2 linked regions of the Arabidopsis thaliana genome follow. The protein of the gene in region 2 interacts with the protein of the main gene of each other region in a pairwise test. Each region holds a gene or a part of one and is shown on either strand. Other genes may lie near its edges.

Region 1 (4,796 bases), on a different chromosome or scaffold from region 2:
CATGCAGGTTTCGAACCTGCGACCTTCGCGTTATTAGCACGACGCTCTAACCAACTGAGCTAATGGGCCATTTGTTCAAATTCTTCACAAGTCAGTTAAACTTCAAAAGCGAAATGAAGTGCATGTTGTGAAATGGCATCGTTTAGCAACATGACTATTTTTTTTTGGAACTTATATGTTGTTCTACACGAGGTAAGAACGGAGGCGCTGGCTAGTTGCATGGTGAAGACTGAAGAGAGCAGCTTCATCTTTTTGAGATTGCTCTGTTTTTGGGTTTGTTTCTCTTGTTTTGAGGATTGTGTGATGGATGAGAAGTGGAGTTTGAGAGGTTTATTTATAAGAAAATATATTAAAGAAGGTAATGACTGGCATAGTTGAATGCAAAATTCTGATTTTTGTATCACAATACTGAAACATTCAGAACTTTTAAAGACTTATATGCATCACAATTTTTTGGATGAAGTATTCAAGACAATAAAATATACCAAATTGCACCATTTGTTAAATTAGAATTGGAAGAATGAGAACAAGTAATATGTTCAAATTAGTAGACTTAAGTAAAGTTGAAGTGGAAAATCCATCATCTCTGTTTTCTTCAACTAGTCATTGAAATCGAAGGAAGAATAGAGAAGTGGTAAGTGCAATATTAGGTCTCAGCTAAAGCTGGAAACTATTCATCAATAAACAGAAATAATCGTTTTTTTAAGGATTAAGAGAGCTTATCACAACGAACTCTGGAACAATTTTTAAGCCCAATGTGTTTTCTTCTTAAGCCTTCACTAGAAGAGTGGAAGAGACAGAGAGACAGAGAGAGATACGTAAGAGAAGCGTAGAGAAATTACAAAATGGAGCAGGCTTTTTGTGCTTTGCTTTTCTTTTTCTTCTGCTTTGGAGGTTGAAGAACCACTCGGATCGCTGCATCAAATACTCCTTTCACGTTCTGCAATTTCATTAAAAAAAAGCTTTGAGAAAAGCTAAGTAAAGAAGCAGAGTAGTACTCAAAACAAAAGGGAAAGTTTTTGTGTCTTGCCTCTTGTGTTTTTGAACTGCACTCGATGTATGCGGGAGCTCCAATTAGTTTCTTCAGTTCCTCTCCCTTTGATGCCCAAAGTGGTGAACGGTTAAAAGGGTTCGTTTAAGTAACAGGCTAAGTAAATTGACACATTTCAAAGAAAAATTCTGTTTACCTGAGCAGTAGTAATTGGTACAGCGCCAGGGTGGTCAATGAAGAACTGTTTGTCATCCCGAAGATCTGGCATATATGATGAAACACAAAACATAAGCACCAGACGAAACTCATAACTATTAAAAGTAGGTCTAGACGGATCAGACAGCAGGCCGAAAGTTAAGCATTGGTATTAAAAGTAAGAAACAGAATCCGTTACACCAATTTTGGCACAACATCTTGTATAAGCCTTTTCTATTAGGTTTATAATTGCTAGACATCCAACAGCTGCTTACATGCATGTAGTTGTCTCTTACAATGGAGGTTAACTATCAAGAGAAAATGTGAGATATGATCCATAACGTATCGCGGAATTCATTAAAAATGATGACGAAACATCACAGACAAGCTTGTAAACCTAGATTATTTCAGGATTTGTGATACTCCAAAATCCAGGCCTAGTTTCCGCTAGACACAAAAGAGCTAAAAGGTACTACATGGATATATCTTGGACGTGAACAAATCAAATTAGCAGACATATATGTCAAAAAACGAGCTTACCTAGTTTGGTTCCAACAAGAACTATAGGGACACCAGGGGCATAATGCTTCAGCTCTGGGATCCACTGCAAAACGAAGATAAAGCAGCAAAAATCACAACCAAAAGACTTTCTTCAGAGTATTCATATCAAAACTTGTAGCAAACATTCATTTCAAAAACGTACCTTCTTGGAGACATTCTCATAACTAGCCTTACTGATAAGAGAGAATGCTAAGATGAAAACATCAGCACCGCGGTAACTCAAAGGTCTTAATCTGTTATAATCCTCCTGCCCTGTTTACAACAACAAAACAAAAGTTTCAGACCCCAAATCCCATAGCTGCCGCTACTACTAAGTAAGATCCCTATTATTTAGTCAGTACCTGCGGTATCCCATAGCCCAAGATTCACAGTGGCTCCATTAACAACCACATTTGCGCTAAAGTTATCGAAAACAGTCGGTACATAATCCTGTTCCACATGAATTTACAAGATTCAATGAGATACAAAGCTCCACAAATCCTCATAACACCAAAAAAAAATTATGGATCGATTCATGTATTGCCACAAGCTTTGGTCTCATCAATCAATAGAGAAGACAATTTTGAAGCTTGTAATTCACAGAACACAGAATATGATTCAATCTAAGGAAGGAACATTATACCGTAGGAAAAGTGTTGCTGGTGTAAGAAATCAGCAAACAGGTTTTACCAACAGCTCCGTCGCCAACGGTGACACACTTTATGAACCTCGAAGCGCTCATTTCTCTTCTTCTTCCTTCTCCACCAGAAATGGAGCTACGTACGTCTATGTATGATCACAACAAACAAAATTTTGAAAAAAAAAAAAAAGAATCTCTAATTCAAAAATAGCAACCTCAGATCTACAAAACCTGAGGAAACAACCTCAAATATAAGCTCTCAAAAGCGTTTTATTTTTCCTTTCAATTCACCATCTCCGGTACAAAGGGAACAAGAAAAACCCTAGAAATGTGAAAAGAGAGGAAACCCTAAATTGGAATCGGAAATGTGAGAGATCAAAGAAGGGATCAAAGAAGAAGAATGGACGACGTTAACAACGATGAATCGAATTCTAGAGAACAACAACAAGGGAGAGAGAAAGAGAAAGTAGAAGAAATGTGATGGCCGGAAATTTATGCCATTGAAGCGTTCACAAAACGAACAATCTCCTCCATCAACTTTCTCCGATTGTTTTGCTTTTTTTTTTTCTCGTTTCTTTTCTGTTTTATTTTGTTTTTAAAAAAATTTAACCTACAATTTGTTTTTTTTTTAAATTTTATTATTTTTTCAAAATTTTTTAAGTTGATTTCGTAAACTGAATTTCTATTGATATATTTGAAGGCTGAAGCCTCACAAAGGTTGTTAATTATGCGTTATACAATGGTATTGAAAATGTTTTTATGCGTCAATAATCATTCAACAGAATACATAAAATGAATACTTTTTTCATGAAGGACATTATCTAATATGTAATATCCAATGTTAAACTCAGAATACTAAAGATTCGTATAAACACACATCAAACTCCACAAGTTACAGACCATGAACCGCCTTGAAAATCCGAGGAATAAAACTAGACCTAAACCCGGGTTTACATTTCGAGCAGCAAGCAACACAATATCAGTCCCTTTCCGATTCTCAAACGACTCAAAGCAAAGCTTTTTTTTTTTTTAATAAAAACAAACCGACTTCTTTTGACCAACATGAGATTCTATACTTTGATCGCCTGGTATCTCTCACCAATGGCACCCTCTTTCTGCTTTTGGAACTCCATGAACTCAAGCGTAGTTGCAAAGAATGATTCAGCAGATGGATCAGAGGGCATCGATTCTTCGTTCTTGATCAGTTTTATCAGGCTTTCTACTGATTCAACTGTTATCTGTGGAACCCCTTTCTCATAGAAATAGAGGTACCTGCCATAATTCACATTACATAATGCTGCTTGCTGATCTGGGAAAATGAGAAGTAAAACAAACAATAAAAAGCGCTTACTTGTTTAGTATCTCGATGAAGAGGGTAACAGACCCTGTACTACCCCGAGCTGTGTTGGCCACTTGTTGAGCCGAATTTGCAATTTTAAGCGCTCGTTTCAGACAAAGTAGAACCCTGATTTCAAGTAAGAAACCTAATGAGCTATTTTAAACACACTGTGTTCTATCGCACAGAAGAAAGTATTACCTTTCTCCATCTTGTATGGTCTCACGATCTTCCAGCCAGAACAAATGAGAACAGGCATAAACAGCTCGACATTGATCAGGTTTCTTTAGAAGTTTCGCTGCATACTGCAAGAGTATAAGTTTTCCCTTGTCAGCCTTTAAGCAGAGACAATTGAATATGGTAAGAGACTAATTATCATATCATGATGAAATACCCCCGTAGCCTTGTGCGTTAATGTATCTCTATTCTCAACACCAAATACTTGCATCCTCTGCAGAGTTCCAATTATAAGTTGTAACGCAGTCACCTGGGCCTTTGAGTCCTGTTCAAAAGGCAAGTTTTTGACGCACGAGAGAGAGTTAAACTCACCTACTTGCTTTGGTTTAGACACGAGACATATGAACGTCCGCGAAAACATAACTAACCGAAATTTCTTCTTCGTATAAGATGTATGCCTGGGTGAAAAATTCGTATGCAATTGGTTCTTCATCACACTTATCCGCAGCCTGATGAAATAGGAAAGATCTGTGAGCATTTTACCGAGCAAGTGCATACTAAATAAACAGGTACGTAGTTTTACCTCAGCACATTGCAAGTACAACCGGAATGCCAGGTCAGGTGATGGAACATTAGGTAGCGCTTCGATAATCTGCAACAAGCAAAAAAATCCAACAATAAATACAAGAACTGATGACTGTAGTGGAGACAGAGCAATAACAGCAGTCTCTTTAGCTAATATCTACAAACTGTTGATTGAGAATTTTCAACGTTGTCAATCAGCTTGTATGAACTAACTTTGGCTAAGTTTTAAAAAAGTAATGTAGCTCTGAGACACATTGTTCTACCTAAAAACAGATCTGAACACACAAGGCAGTGAAAAGTTATGAAACTTACCTGATTTAGAAATTGGAATA
Region 2 (4,276 bases):
TCTGGCAGAGGAAAGTGATGAAAGGATATTCAACCACTTCGAACAAGAACCATATCAATGTGAATACCCCCAAGATTGTTCCTGATTCTTTCTTGTTCTTCCAGAACATTATATCAGCAACTACAAGCATTTCAAGAGAAAAATCCTTTAGAAAAAGAACCAAAATTAATGTGAAAACGGAAAGAAAAATATATGTTACATCGTCCTCCTCCTAGATTGTGGTACAAAGATCTTCGTCGTCTCGATGAAGAAGCTCTATGTTCATCCATTTCATATCCAAAAACCGCCATTTTGTTTTGGTTTCAGGTTTTGAAACAACTGTGGCCTTTTTTGTGAGCTAAGGTCTAAGATTCATGGTTTATTATATAGTTCCGAACTTTTAGGATAAGAACGGTTTTGTTCTTGGATTCATAAAGAAGAAAGCGATTTGAGAAAAAACAGGAAAGGTATGGCTTTAGCATATTGCAAAAACTCATCATTTTATTGCTACATGAATAAATTAGTTTTATATCTTGTAGAGAATCTTTCTTAACTTGAGTTAATGATCAAAAATGTATTCCAAAAAGTTATCAACATTTTGATCATAGCTAAACCCTTTCCCATGCAAGTATATTCCAAGTTGAGGCTAGATATGTTAGGAATGCAATCATTGGGCCTCTTCGTAGGCCCAGTCCATTATGTGCCCATATTGTTTTCATGTCTAAACTTTTAGCAGATGATAACAATCTAGATGAGGTCAAGTGGGAAGCTAAGATGATGACTGAGCCAAACCAAATTTCTCATAGACATACATAAGCCAACATTATATCTGACGACACAAGTTTATATTGACAATTAACAAACAACTATTTTTTTTATAGTTTTACCCTGTTTTTAAAAGCATAGCCAACATAAGACCAAACAGAAACTGGTTTAGACCTTGTTAAACTCGGTGTTTTGTTGCTTTGGAGCATCTGAAGGAGTGGTCATACCAATGTTAATGCCATCGTTCTGATGCTTCTCCCATCCGCCAGTATCAGCCTTAGAATGAGCCAAGTAGTAAAGAATGGTTGCAATCAAAGACATGAGAGTGAAAGCAGCTCCAGCAGCAAAGACTCCAACGGGTAAGACGGCACACGAAAGCTCTTTCCCTTTGTAAATGCCTTCACTTTTAGTGTGGTACGCGTTCCTCGCTGATCCACCCAACAAGCACGCCTCAGCTCCTAAAAAGCTTACCCTAAAGATACACAAAACCAATGACTAAGACAAACGTACTCAAACATAGAGATGAACTAACTAGTTCTTATTCTTGTAAGGTCGTTTCTTTTCTTATAGAATCCACATAGTTTGGTAAGATAACAAACTGTAAAACCAAACATATAGAATATTCAATTGTGACCATGACGAAGCCTACCACTATCATTGTCTTTAGATAGAGACATCCACAACTCACAAGTAAGAGTTAAGGACGTAAATAAGAAGTCAAGTTTGCAACAAAGTGACTTATTAATCATAAATCACATAACCAAATTTCAATACCCACTAATCTAAAAGTGTTTACTTTTCATGTTCACAATACTGAAAAGAGTTGGAAAAAACTTTCCTTTTCACTTCAAAGTTAAAACCCATAAATATACACAATCAAATCACAAATTAGTTCATTCCAAATCTAACTTAAAAGCCCCTAATCAGAAATTTCAAATTTTGGTTACCAAATACCACTTAAATCAACTCAATTTCAAATCTTGATGTACAAAAGATTCAATTAGAGAGTAAAGGAATAAACTTTACCAAGAAACAACGAAGAAGACAATAGCCCAGACAGTGTAAGAAGTACCAGTAACAAGACCCTTTCCAAAACAGAGACACTTAGTAACACCGTTAACCACCGCTTGGCTAACAAGAAGCAACCCAAACGCCGACATACCGTACACTGTCGACGCCTCAGTTCCGTACTTACAAATAGTCTTCTCATCGTACTGATCCGGAACCGGCACAGCCTGAATAAACAAGAAAACACGAATTCACAACACAAATCGGAAAAATGACAAATTTTAGTAAGAGAGAGATAAATTGGGTACGGTGCTACGGCGACGCTCGGCACCGAAGGCGAAGACGAAAGCAAGGAGGTGAAGAGCAGTGACGACGGTGAGGATTGAAACTGAAACCGCCATTGATTTGGTTTTCGTGCTTCTTTCTCTCTTTACTCTTTTGTCTTTTATCTTCAGAGAGCTTTGGGCAAGTGAAGAAACGTTAAAGTGTCCTTATAACACTGATATTTGTTTTCTCTTTTTCTCTTTTTTTAGAATTTTGAACACTAATATTTATGACTTAATTGTCAAAGTGTCTCCATCTAATCATTATATCTGGTTACTCTTTTTTTATTTTTTGGATGTGGTTTACAAATGTTTAGTGGAGAAATTTTGAGAGATATTTGATTAAGAGTAAGTAATTAAATGGGTATATTTATACATATTGTAGCTTTAAGTGGTAGCACAACCACCAGCTCAAGCATCAGAACAACAAGAAATCGACTTTGCACGCTCCATCCTTTGCCTTCAAACCCCGAAATCATGATTAGATTTAGAAACATAGTTGGAAGACGACCTTGCTAAAAATCAAAGACTCAGTAATTTGTCATTAAATTACTACGACGTAACAAAAAATAATATGATGTCAATTGAGACAAAACATATCTTTTAATTTTAGAGAGCACATGAAGTCATGCCAATGCTTCTTTGACAGATATGATGCCTTGTTCGTGGTTATCTATAGTAAATAATATTTGTTGACAAAAATATATTTCAATGATAATAGTTATAATGACAATTGACTATAATTTTGGAAGTAAAGTAGTAAACTATTATTTAAAAAAAATAAAAAATTAGATTTAGGATCAATACTAGAGCATCTACTACTTGGTCATAAGTTTTATTAGAACTGATTTTAATAGAAATACTAACTTTGGTCAAATTAAAAGTGTTTGACTACATTTTAATTAAAGACTGAGAAACAAATTAACAAAAAAAGAAAACTTATGGTACGATTAAGAACCTGAAAAACTTTTAGAATCTCATACATATTGTTTATGATTAACATACATCTATATTTATGATATGAATATGCATTATACAAAAACATATTAAATTTATAAACTACTTTTAATCTTGTTGTTCTCCTTTTTCACCATTATTCATACATCTTTATTCATCTCTTCGTTAATCCAATCCATGCATTCACGATAATCATCAAAGTTATCGTCTATCTTCATATCATCACTTTGATTCACAGATTCTATATTATGATATTCGCATGACTCCATCATATTATTTTCCTCAGAAAAACCATTGTCTTCTAACCAAGAGAATATATCCTTCTCATTGGCATCAATGTCAAAAGAAATCAGATCTTCAATCGAAATATCGTAAAGAGCATCGTTCATCTCTTCCATATTGGTTTCCAAAGGAACCATATTATCCAAAGCATCGTAACTTGTTTCACAAGAAACCAAACTCTTTTGGATGGTATTGGTTTCGAGTGAAGTTATATCTTCAGGGAAAACCCAATCTAACGGATTTGAATAATTGGTTTCTAGAATGGCCATATTAGTTTTGGGAGGGATTTCACTATGTATTTCACAAGAAACAAAGCCCACATTATTTGTATTAGTTTCTTCTTGAGGGGGAATACTTCCTCCAGAATAACCCATGCCCATATGGTTTATATCTACTTCAGAGGGAATCATATTTTCAAAAGGAACATAACCTACTTGTGAAGAAACCCAACCTATCTCGTTTGTATGTTTTTCAGGAAAATTTATGTTCATGTTGGTTTCAGGAAGAACGTAATTTGCTGTTGAAGGATCCCAATCCATATGGTTCATATTGATATCATGGTGACTAAGGTTTTCTATAAATGAAACCCAATCCATCTTGTCTATATCGGTATCCAAAAGGTTCATGGTAGGGTTTGGAAGAAATCTATTGTTTTCCTTCATAAGGCACTCATCTACTAGAGGATCGAAAGAATCTAGTATAGAAGTAAAATCTAAATCTATTTGGTTTACATCAGTTTCAAGGATGGATCTATGTGGGTGACATTGATTAGGATCATACTGCGGAATAGAAATCCTTTCGGATTCCATCTGAGATGTGCATGTGTTAGATGCACCATCATTCGATGGTAAACCATAAAGGATAGGAGAATTTTCACTACTTAAGCCAGTTGAAACTAAACCAGTATAGCTAGAGCTATCGATACTAGAGCTATCGATAGAAAGAATATTGTAAGCTGGATT

What was found.
Region 1: the proteins of AT1G68220 (region 2) and ARAC1 interact in a protein complementation assay, tested with the Arabidopsis thaliana proteins (one large-scale study listed by BioGRID).

What each region holds. Positions count from the first base shown.
Region 1 is NC_003071.7:7,737,985-7,742,780, reverse strand, and holds ARAC1 (RAC-like 1), read right to left. Parts: upstream 2,995-4,796; 5' UTR 2,469-2,994; coding exon 2,370-2,468; intron 2,177-2,369; coding exon 2,089-2,176; intron 2,000-2,088; coding exon 1,890-1,999; intron 1,791-1,889; coding exon 1,727-1,790; intron 1,253-1,726; coding exon 1,188-1,252; intron 1,097-1,187; coding exon 1,031-1,096; intron 941-1,030; coding exon 839-940; 3' UTR 501-838; downstream 1-500. Other genes in the region: VPS35A (vacuolar protein sorting-associated 35A-like protein), read right to left, coding at 3,437-3,638, 3,718-3,831, 3,904-4,007, 4,097-4,204, 4,308-4,388, 4,463-4,531, 4,777-4,796. UniProt on the Arabidopsis thaliana protein: Inactive GDP-bound Rho GTPases reside in the cytosol, are found in a complex with Rho GDP-dissociation inhibitors (Rho GDIs), and are released from the GDI protein in order to translocate to membranes upon activation.
Region 2 is NC_003070.9:25,568,199-25,572,474, reverse strand, and holds AT1G68220 (aerobic coproporphyrinogen-III oxidase (DUF1218)), read right to left. Parts: upstream 2,384-4,276; 5' UTR 2,154-2,383; coding exon 2,061-2,153; intron 1,980-2,060; coding exon 1,771-1,979; intron 1,217-1,770; coding exon 913-1,216; 3' UTR 742-912; downstream 1-741. Other genes in the region: AT1G68230 (Reticulon family protein), read right to left, coding at 1-120, 200-290; APRR6 (pseudo-response regulator 6), read right to left, coding at 3,173-4,276.